Sus scrofa: one gene and its partner. The protein of the gene in region 1 purifies or fractionates together with the protein of each later gene. This does not show direct contact. Links are inferred from orthologs where the notes say so. Each region holds a gene or a part of one and is shown in the gene's direction. Other genes may lie near its edges. The genes, in order: NUAK1 and FBXW11.

The links.
Region 2: the proteins of NUAK1 (region 1) and FBXW11 purify together in Homo sapiens (affinity purification with mass spectrometry; 4 studies listed by BioGRID and IntAct, counting the BioPlex papers as one, with this or other methods). This does not show direct contact. The link is inferred for Sus scrofa from reciprocal best matches to the Homo sapiens genes NUAK1 and FBXW11.

Annotation. Positions count from the first base shown.
Region 1 is NC_010447.5:14,100,483-14,104,949, forward strand, and holds the start of NUAK1 (NUAK family SNF1-like kinase 1), read left to right. Parts: upstream 1-1,495; 5' UTR 1,496-1,722; coding exon 1,723-1,977; intron 1,978-4,467. UniProt on the Homo sapiens protein: Serine/threonine-protein kinase involved in various processes such as cell adhesion, regulation of cell ploidy and senescence, cell proliferation and tumor progression. Phosphorylates ATM, CASP6, LATS1, PPP1R12A and p53/TP53.
Region 2 is NC_010458.4:52,211,042-52,215,479, forward strand, and holds the start of FBXW11 (F-box/WD repeat-containing protein 11), read left to right. Parts: upstream 1-1,359; 5' UTR 1,360-1,764; coding exon 1,765-1,809; intron 1,810-4,438.

The DNA of each region.
Region 1 (4,467 bases):
AACCTGAGGGCTGCAAGCCCCACTCACAGGTGAAAAAGTAAAGAACCACCAAGCCATCTGTAGAATGCACCAGGCATGCTTCATACCCCACTCTTCCCATCCCAGTCTGGTATACTGCACCAGTTACAGGAAAAAAAAAAAAAAATCCCATAGGCCCTCTTTTTCTCTTGCCTTCTTCCTTATTTTCCGTTGAGGCTTCTGAGAAGAATGAGAGGGGCAGTCCTGCTGCAGTCCTAGGCCCTTCCTGCCTGACCCTCGCTGATGGGGGTGGGGTGCCTGGTACCATCTTCAGAATCTGGCCATTTCAGTTAAACTCCAAAGGCCCAAGGGGCCTAAGAGTCATCTCTTGCTCAGCAGGCCCCAGGCCCTGCTCCATTCAAGGTCCCTGGCCTGTCCATCTCCAAAAGCAGCCTTAGCGGGCAGGACGGGCACCCAGGTGCAACCTGGTGCCGTTAGCGCCCCAACTCTTCTCCTCTCCCAGGGGTGGACGTCCTGGATGGTGTCAGAAGGCCGGCAGTCTGGCGGCGGCGGGGCCCCAGGTTCAGCCTCCGAGCCTCCCTTCCTCCCCGATTCAGCCTTTCAATCGGGAAGGGAGCGGGGCCGGGGTCAACGCGCCCCCTGGGGGTTCTCCAAGGCGCGCAGCTGTCCGGGGCGAGCAACCCTAGCCCCGGCCTGGGTAGGGGCCTGAGAGGCTGGGGTGCCAGCCCCCGCCGGGCGGGAGGGGGAGAGCGCCGCGGCGGGGGAGGGGGAGCCGTGACTCACCGCCTGTAACCCTACACCCGCGCTGCTTCCCCTCCCCCAGCCTCTCCCCCGTCTCCGGCCTGGCGGCCGCCGCGACACCCAAAACAAAATGAACGGGCGCCCGAGCCCGCGGCGCCCCACGCCGGATCGCGAGCGGGTCTCGGCGGCCCCGGGCTCCGAGCACTCCGGCCGGCCCGGCCCTGGACCTCGGCGAGCGCCCGCCGCCGCCGCCGCCCAGGCGGGAGCAGGAAGGGAGGCCGAGCGTCCGGAGCAGGCGTCGGAGGAGGCGTTGGCGGCGGCGGCGGCGGCGGCAGCAGAGGGCTCGCGGTAGCTACGGCTGGCGAGCTCGGGGAGGGGGCGCCTGGGCTGGGAACCACCCCCGTCTCCATCCTGGCCGAGCGAGGACAAAGCCCCCTCGCCGCTAGCGCGGCCTGTTCGGCGCTGCACAAAGGGCGAGTCGCGACACGCACCCATCCCCCCGCAGCTTGGGGCGGCCCCGGCCCCGGAGGCGGCCGCGAGTGGGGGAAGCCCAGGCCGCGCCTCCCCTCGCCCCCTCCCCCGGGGCCGCCCAGCGCACCGCCCCCGCCCCCGCCCCGTCTGCGGGTCCTGCCGGGGAGGGGTTGGGGGGCGCGGCGCCCCACATAACACGCCCCCTCCGGCGCTCGGAGCCACCCCTCTCCCCTCCCTCCTGCGAACACCACCGCCTCCCCTGCCGCCGCCGCCGCCACCTCGCCCGACGCGCCGCAGCTCGCCGCGGCCGGTGGGCGGTGCGCGGATCGTGCGCGCCGGGGGCGCCAGATGTGCAGTCCCCGCCGCCGCCAGTGACCCAGCCGCAGCCCGGGCGGGAGCGGGCTGCTTCCTCAATGCTGCGGGGGCGACCTTGAGCGCGCCCCGGTTTCCCTCCGCGGGCACCCCGACACCGCGAGCGCTGTGCCCGGTCCTGCCCTGCCCTCTCCTGCCGGGTTCGCCCCGCGTTCGGACATGGAGGGGGCCGCTGCGGCCGCGGCCGGGGACGGCCCGGACTTGGGGCTGGGGACGCCGGGCTCTCCCCCGGAGGCGGGGGCGGGGGCGACCGCAGCCCCCGCGGCGGCGGCCCCGGAGCCCAGGAAGCCGCACGGGGTGAAGCGGCATCACCACAAGCACAACTTGAAGCACCGCTACGAGCTGCAGGAGACCCTGGGCAAAGGCACCTACGGCAAAGTCAAGAGGGCCACCGAGAGGTTTTCGGGCCGAGTGGTGAGTTGGGGGGAAGCCCGGGGGGCTTGGGGCTAGACGCAACCGGGGACGGAGCCAGCGTGCGATGGGGTCTGGGGCACGGAGGGGATCACTTGTCCGCGAGGGGGCTTCCCGGGAACCCCCACCCCCGCCCCTCTGGCGGATTCCTGACTCTCCCACCAGCTCCCCGTGGCTCAGGCGTGTCTTTCTCCCTGAACACTTGTTACATCCTGTCTGCGCATATTTTGGGGGTTTTGATCCCAGCAGCAAAGTAGTGTTTATGATTTGCCAACACTTTGCAACGTCGGGACCGTTGGGGTCTCCCTCGAAGTCACGCATTCATGCCCTGGAATGCCTATTGCTCTGACTCCAGAGCCACATCCTCAGCTTGGGGTTGGTTCCCCAAGTCCCGCGTCCAGTAGATGAATGGGACCCTCCCCCTCCTTCCCGGCATCATCCCACTCGTCTTCCCCTTCTCCCTGATGCCGATGTGCCTGCAACGGAGGGTGGACTCCTGCCTGTTTATAAGAGAGAATGTTAGGGGGGCAAAGTAAAGGCTGCTGCATGGCTGAGGGTTGTGACAGTTTGCGGCTGGCTTCTGGGAGGACTGAATTGCCCAGGGCATGGACAGCCACACAGACGCGGAGTTGCAGACTCAACTGCATTTCAGGCCCTGGCTGCAGGGCTACTGCATTGCTTAAAGGGTCTGGCCCAGCCACCCTGCTCTTTGTGACAGCTGAAACCCTGCCAGGGCCCCAGGACCATTTATATTGCCCCAAGGAGAGGCATGAGTGCTTTGACTTCTCTGTGTTGTCCCAACCTTGGTTTGTTGTCATTTTCCTTTCTGCAAAACAGGCCCTTGAAATCCACACTGCTTGTGGCTAGAGGGTTGGGTTCAAAGTGACTGACTGTTGCAGAAAGATTTTGTGTGGTGTGTGGCAGAAAATTAATATGATTCTTTGATTTGAAGCATATCAAATGGCTTTTAATCGATTTAGGGCCAAAGTCAGGAACTAATTAGGGGACTCCTTGTGTGACTTTGGGGGTGACTCAGGGCCCAGGGTTGCTTATAAACTTAACAGATGACCACAGGGAGAAAGCAAAATGAACTGTGGAACGAAGTGGTATGATGATGTCTTTTGCATTTGTGCAGGGGCAGTTCTGCGGACAAAATGGGGCACTAATCAGAAAGTTCAGCCCCCAAATCCTCAAATATTTGGATACGGGATAACGCCCTCATTCTAAGCTTCACTATTTGGGTTGATACAGCTTTATCCTATAGCTTTAAAAAAGTCTGTTATAGGTTCATTGGACATTTGAGAGATTATACCTTTTATTTTTAAGCTGTCTCCTATCAACAAATTTCTATAGCAAGTAGTTGAGAGGGCAGGTGCCCTTTTGGTAGGTAGAAAATTTACAAGAGGAGATATATGGTTGCAAAGATGTCCTTTGAGGAACACACTTTCAGGTTTGTGGAAGAGGAGGCTGAGAAACGTGCGCTTCATTCATGCTTTTCTTCTGAGGTGATATTCCCCAGGCTGGATGTTGAATAAGCAAAAGCTAAGCTCCTTGCTCATGTTGTCTTAATAGCTGTTGAAGAATCGCGCTGGGAAGTTGGAAAGTGGAATAATGAAAAACAGACGCGGTTTGGGTTGCAGGTTGAGGATGTGAGCTTGTGAGTGGTCAGGGTGTGTCTGGGATCTGTGAGGGGACACAGCCGCCTGAAGGCTGGGGAGCTGCTGCTAACTGAAAGAATGAAGGCTTGTCTTATGGCAGACGTCTTTCTGAGCCTCGCTGGGGCTTCAGGTATTTGTGTAGCTGTCTGATCCATGGTCTAGAGTGAAAGGGATCCCATCAGTAGATGGGAGCCTGCCTTTCTCTTTTGGTGGCTGTCTTTCCCTTTATTTGCAGAAAGTCTGAACATTCCGTCAGGATTTAGTCGAATAGCCACGAGGGGGCGCCCTGAGAACGGAAGAGGCTCATTTCGCTGCAGGATTTGAGTCCTGCTGTTATTGTCCAGTTCTAGTCTCGCTTCCCATTGTGCTATTAATTTCAGCTAAGTCTCTTGTCTTACTCAAAAATTCTGCAAAGATTGCAAATCTGGTGGCAGGTCCACATCCAGAAGCTGGCAATCCCCAGACTGCTTTCTGCATGATAGATGAGCCTAGGCTGTTAGCAAAATCATCTGGTTGAAAACGCTGCATTAAGCAGATGGGAAAACTGAGGTTGGGTGAAGGGAAGACCTCCTTGGCCTTGAGTCCTCCCCCTGCTGAGCACACTGCTCACAGATGGTGTAAGAACTTCAGTGAGAAACAGAAATTGTCAGGTGGAAAATTCTCTGCGCCTGACTGAACAGAAAAATAAAACAAACACCCAAAAAATTGGTCAGCAAGTTGTTCTTGCCTGCACAGTGCTTGGTGACTCAGAATCTGTCCAGAAACTTCCACTTCCTCATCTGTAAAATGGGCTCATATAGTACCAACTTCATGGACTGGCAGTGAGAACTGAATA
Region 2 (4,438 bases), on another chromosome or scaffold:
AAGCATCGGATAAGGGCCATTAAACTTAAAACTGTATTGAACAGAACTTACACTGTGTCCTGCATGCATACAAATTACTGTAGCAATTCGGTGCTTGGAAATGGAAAGACTTAGAGGTCATCTAGTCCCTTCCCTTTACAGGTGCAGAAAATGCAAAACACTTGAGAAAGAGAACAGTAGCCTTTGACATTTGGCAGCTGGCCTGATACAATCAAACAGGCAGTAATGTTACTAGATGATAGCCTGGTCCTCTTAGCTAGGCCTCGTGTTTTCTTGTTGAACCTAATTTCATAGAACATAAATGTTAGACAAAGCCATTCTATGGCCATGATAGACCAATACAAAAGCGAAACCACTCCTAATTAAATCTGAACACAGATCAAACAGGGACATTGTTCAAACCACAAAAAATGACCAAATAGCCCTTATTCTGGTAATGAGGGACTCCTGCTTCTCTACCAATCAGGACTTCAGCCTCGTCTAGTAGTCCTTCCGTCTAGATAACATTTACTGAGATGCCCAATCATAAAATTACCTCCACTTTCTGACAGCATCTTATCCAGGGTAAAGTCCCACTTTCTTAAACCCTCATCCAAATCACCTGACAACTCCTCCTGAGATGCCCCACAGTTCTTCATGGTGTGTGTTCTCTCTCTCTGCAACCAGCAATAAACCCAACCTGTTAATTCTCAGCGGGCCTTTGTCGTCTTTGGTTTGAGGTTACTGACAGACCTGATAAGGTTTATACCGAGCTGGAGGCAGAATTCACTGGGCATCTCCAGCTGTGTTCCTTCTTATGGTTAATGTCTGTCTTCCCCCTACCAGAATTACGCTGCGTGAGAAGAGAAGCCTTGTCTGTAGGGATCAGAGCTGATTCCCAGGGCCTAGGCTAGTGACGAGCAGAGGCTGGAAGTTTAAAAGATACTTTCTAAACGAATGAATAATAGGTTCTCTTTCACCTCTCAGTTCCTCCCAGTACGTGGTGCACAGAGACCACAAAACTCCTCTTTCTCAACTAAATTTCCAAACCCCTCTTGGGACGCCACTCTTGGGACGCCCATGCTCTCAGAGCCTCCTTCTCTGCCCGAGCTCTCTCGCTCGCTGGCCCCCCTCCGACACTTGAGCCCCAAGACCATCCCTTCCTAGAACCCACCTGTCGCCAACACCTCACCCTGCCACAGAGGCCAGACCAACCGTGCCGTTACTTAGGTGTCGAGCGGGCACTGCAGGCACAGACCGCGCATGTGCGGAAATCGGTCGCGCACGCAGGATCGCTGGCAAGTGAAGAGTTGCCTTGGAGTTTCCGTCCGGGTCCGGGGAGCCTCGGGCTGCCAGGAAGTCAGAAGAAACTAGCCGGAAAGAGAACCCGCGCGCAGGGCTTTCTGGGATATGTAGTAGGCGCGCACCTGAAGCCCCACCTTGAGGAAGCCCGTAATTCTTTAGGTCTGCACGTCTCTCATTCGCAGTCCCGTGCTACTTTCGGCTGAGAATTCAGCTTCGGACGGCTAGGAGAGATTGGTCTGGCGGGGTCTTCTCGTTCCCACAACGCTCTGCGGGACCCGCGGCGCCTGCCGGGAGCTGTAGTCCTCGCTCTGCGTACTGCGTTCGCCGAGGGGGAGGGCGGAGCTGCCGGCGGCCCGGGCGGGCTGGCAGCTAGAGTGGGTGCGATAGCCGCCTCCGCCTCTGCCGCCTCCGCCGTCGCCTCCTCCGCCCGGGCCGTTCGCTGCTGCGCGGGGAGAGCGAGGCGGGGCCGCCAGGGCCGCCATGGAGCCCGACTCGGTGATTGAGGACAAGACCATCGAGCTCATGGTGAGTGCGGCCCGCTGGACCGTCCGTTCTTCCGTCCGTCCGGCCCCGGGCGGGCCTGCCCATCTCAACGTCCGGCGCGAGGCCGGCCCTGGCCCTTCCCCGCTGCCTCGGCCCGAACCTGGGCCCTCCGGCCCGGCGCGCTTTACTCCGGATCCCTCGAGATCTCAGGCCGGACCTGGTCCGGCCCCCTCCATGCCCCTCGGTTTTCCTCCCTCCCTCCCTTCTCTCCTGTCTCTGGGCCCATCCCTGGAACGACCCTCGCTCGCTTGTGCTGTGGCCTTAGCTCACACTCGCTCAAGCATCTCCTTCCTCCCTTAGAAGGGGTTTTCTGTTTTTTCTTTTTCTAATTCTCCGGCCAGGCCTGCATCGCTCTTGCAAGCCCCACTCAGGCCGAGTGAGATGGTGATGGGAGGGGGTACAGAGAAGATCGACCTGGGGTCTCGGCCTCTGCGTCCTAGAAGGGGTCTCTCAGCACCCTCTTCTCAAGCCAGGGCTGTGTGGATGCCGGCATAGGCCCTACAGGGGTGGAGGTGGGGAGCTCTCGGGTTTGAGGCTGTGACCGATAAGGGGCCTCTTTCCTGGGCCCCTGTGGTGTCCGGCTTCTCGGACAAAGGGTTTCCTACCCGGCCGAGAGGGATGTTTGGATAGCGAGGCCCCAGGTACTCTGGATTCCATCTCCCAGGAAAGAGACACTGTAACTTCACGTTTTCCAGAGCCGCTCTGGGAAATTGGGGAGGGGGAAGAGGGCTTGTCCTCATCTGCGCCGCCAGTTCTTTCTTCTAGAAAAGGAGTAGGAGAGAATCCTAGGCCCCTGGGAAATCGATCACTCTTCTGTTAGAAACCTTTGGTACCCAGGCCAGACCCTCTGGCCCCACGAATCCCAACCCCCCCTCCGCCTTGGGACTTGGAGCCTAAGGTTTTTAGAAACAGGGCCACGAGAGAGTGGCTAGTAGAAACGAAGAACTTGCTCTTTGGTGGATGACTTGGTGGAAGAAATAAAATATGATAGCTATTACCTGCCAATTGGAATACTAGGGAAATCAAACTGGGCTCTGGAGAGCTGGGAGGGGAAGCTCTTTGCCTCAGCAAATGGACAGGCCCAGGCTTTCTTCCTGTGGAAATCTTGACAGTTTCTTTGTATCTCTTCTAATACAGTAACAACTTCTACTCTAAGGTTGAGAGGAAAGGTGAAAGAATCTACTTAACACAGCAAAACGTTTTCCTAGCCAGATTTTCTCCAGTGTGAAAATGTTTATTGAGTCAGTGATTCCACTGGGTAGGGTCGGTGACATCAGAGCCACTTCCCCCATTTAATGCTATAAATAATAAATGGTGACATTGAAAGTCTGTTGGATAGCTGCATGGTGTCTGTGGATGATGGTATCTGGGGAGTTGAGGTGCATGTTTTAAAAATGGAAGTACAGTAGCATAAATATGGAGGCAGCTTAATATTTGCTGTCCTTTGCATAATTCACTAGACTTCTTCAGCAGTCTTGAAAACTAGAGGGGAAAAAAAGCTCTGGTAGTTTCTGGGGTGTGTGTGTGCGTGCGCGCACTGGTGTGGTTGCTTTCTAAGGGATACTGTCACCATAAGTTTGATTTTCATTTATTAAGTAATTTATTAAGTAATTTTTCCTTTCAGTAAAGTTTATCAAACTTTTGTAATCAAGCCTTTGATAATCTGCAAATTTTGTAAGGGGTTATTTTAGTAAAATATCTTAACTGGAATTGCATATATAGTATATATGCTTACATGTATGTGTAATACATGTATTTACAACAGGAGTGCTTCATATCGAAAATTGTAACTTGGGGGGAGTTCTCGTCGTGGCGCAGTGGTTAACGAATCCGACTAGGAACCATGAGGTTGCGGGTTCGATCCCTGCCCTTGCTCAGTGGATTAAGGATCCGGCGTTGCCGTGAGCTGTGGTGTAGGTCGCAGACACGGCTCGGATCCAGCATTGCTGTGGCTCTGGCGTAGGCTGGCAGCTACAGCTCCAATTAGACCCCTAGCCTGGGAATCTCCCATATGCCGCGGGAGCGGCCCAAGAAATGGCAAAAAGACAAAAAAAAAAAAAAAAGAAAAAGAAAATTGTAACTTGGTACCTCTTTGAAAGTGTTCAGTGCTCCTTCCATTTACATGCCATTAAAACAATAACTAAAATGTCTTTATTTTGAAGAGAATTAGAAATGAATACAGTGTAATCCATTTAGTGTTTTGAGTGGATGTAGAAAAAAAAAAATCTCTGACCTAAATATACTGGTTTCCTATGCTTATAAATTGAAAAAGTTTTGATTTTACATAATTGTGTCTGTGATCTGAAAAGATATTTCAGCTCTTTCAAGGGCTTTACAAACTGGGATTCTTAAGATAGTTTAACAAAAAAATTTAACAGCTATCTAGATCAATTTTAAAATGCCTTTTCATATATGGATTTTGATACTCCCTCAAAGAGCTACCAGTTAAGACTCTTAGGCAATCCTTTTGATGAACATTTGTGTGTTTATTTTAGTGTAGTAGATAGCACAGGTACTTAACAACCACTTTACTGAATCCCGGATCAGATGTAGGAATGATAATGCTTTAAAATCCAATTGCATGTGGCTTTCTGTATTCATTGCATTTTCA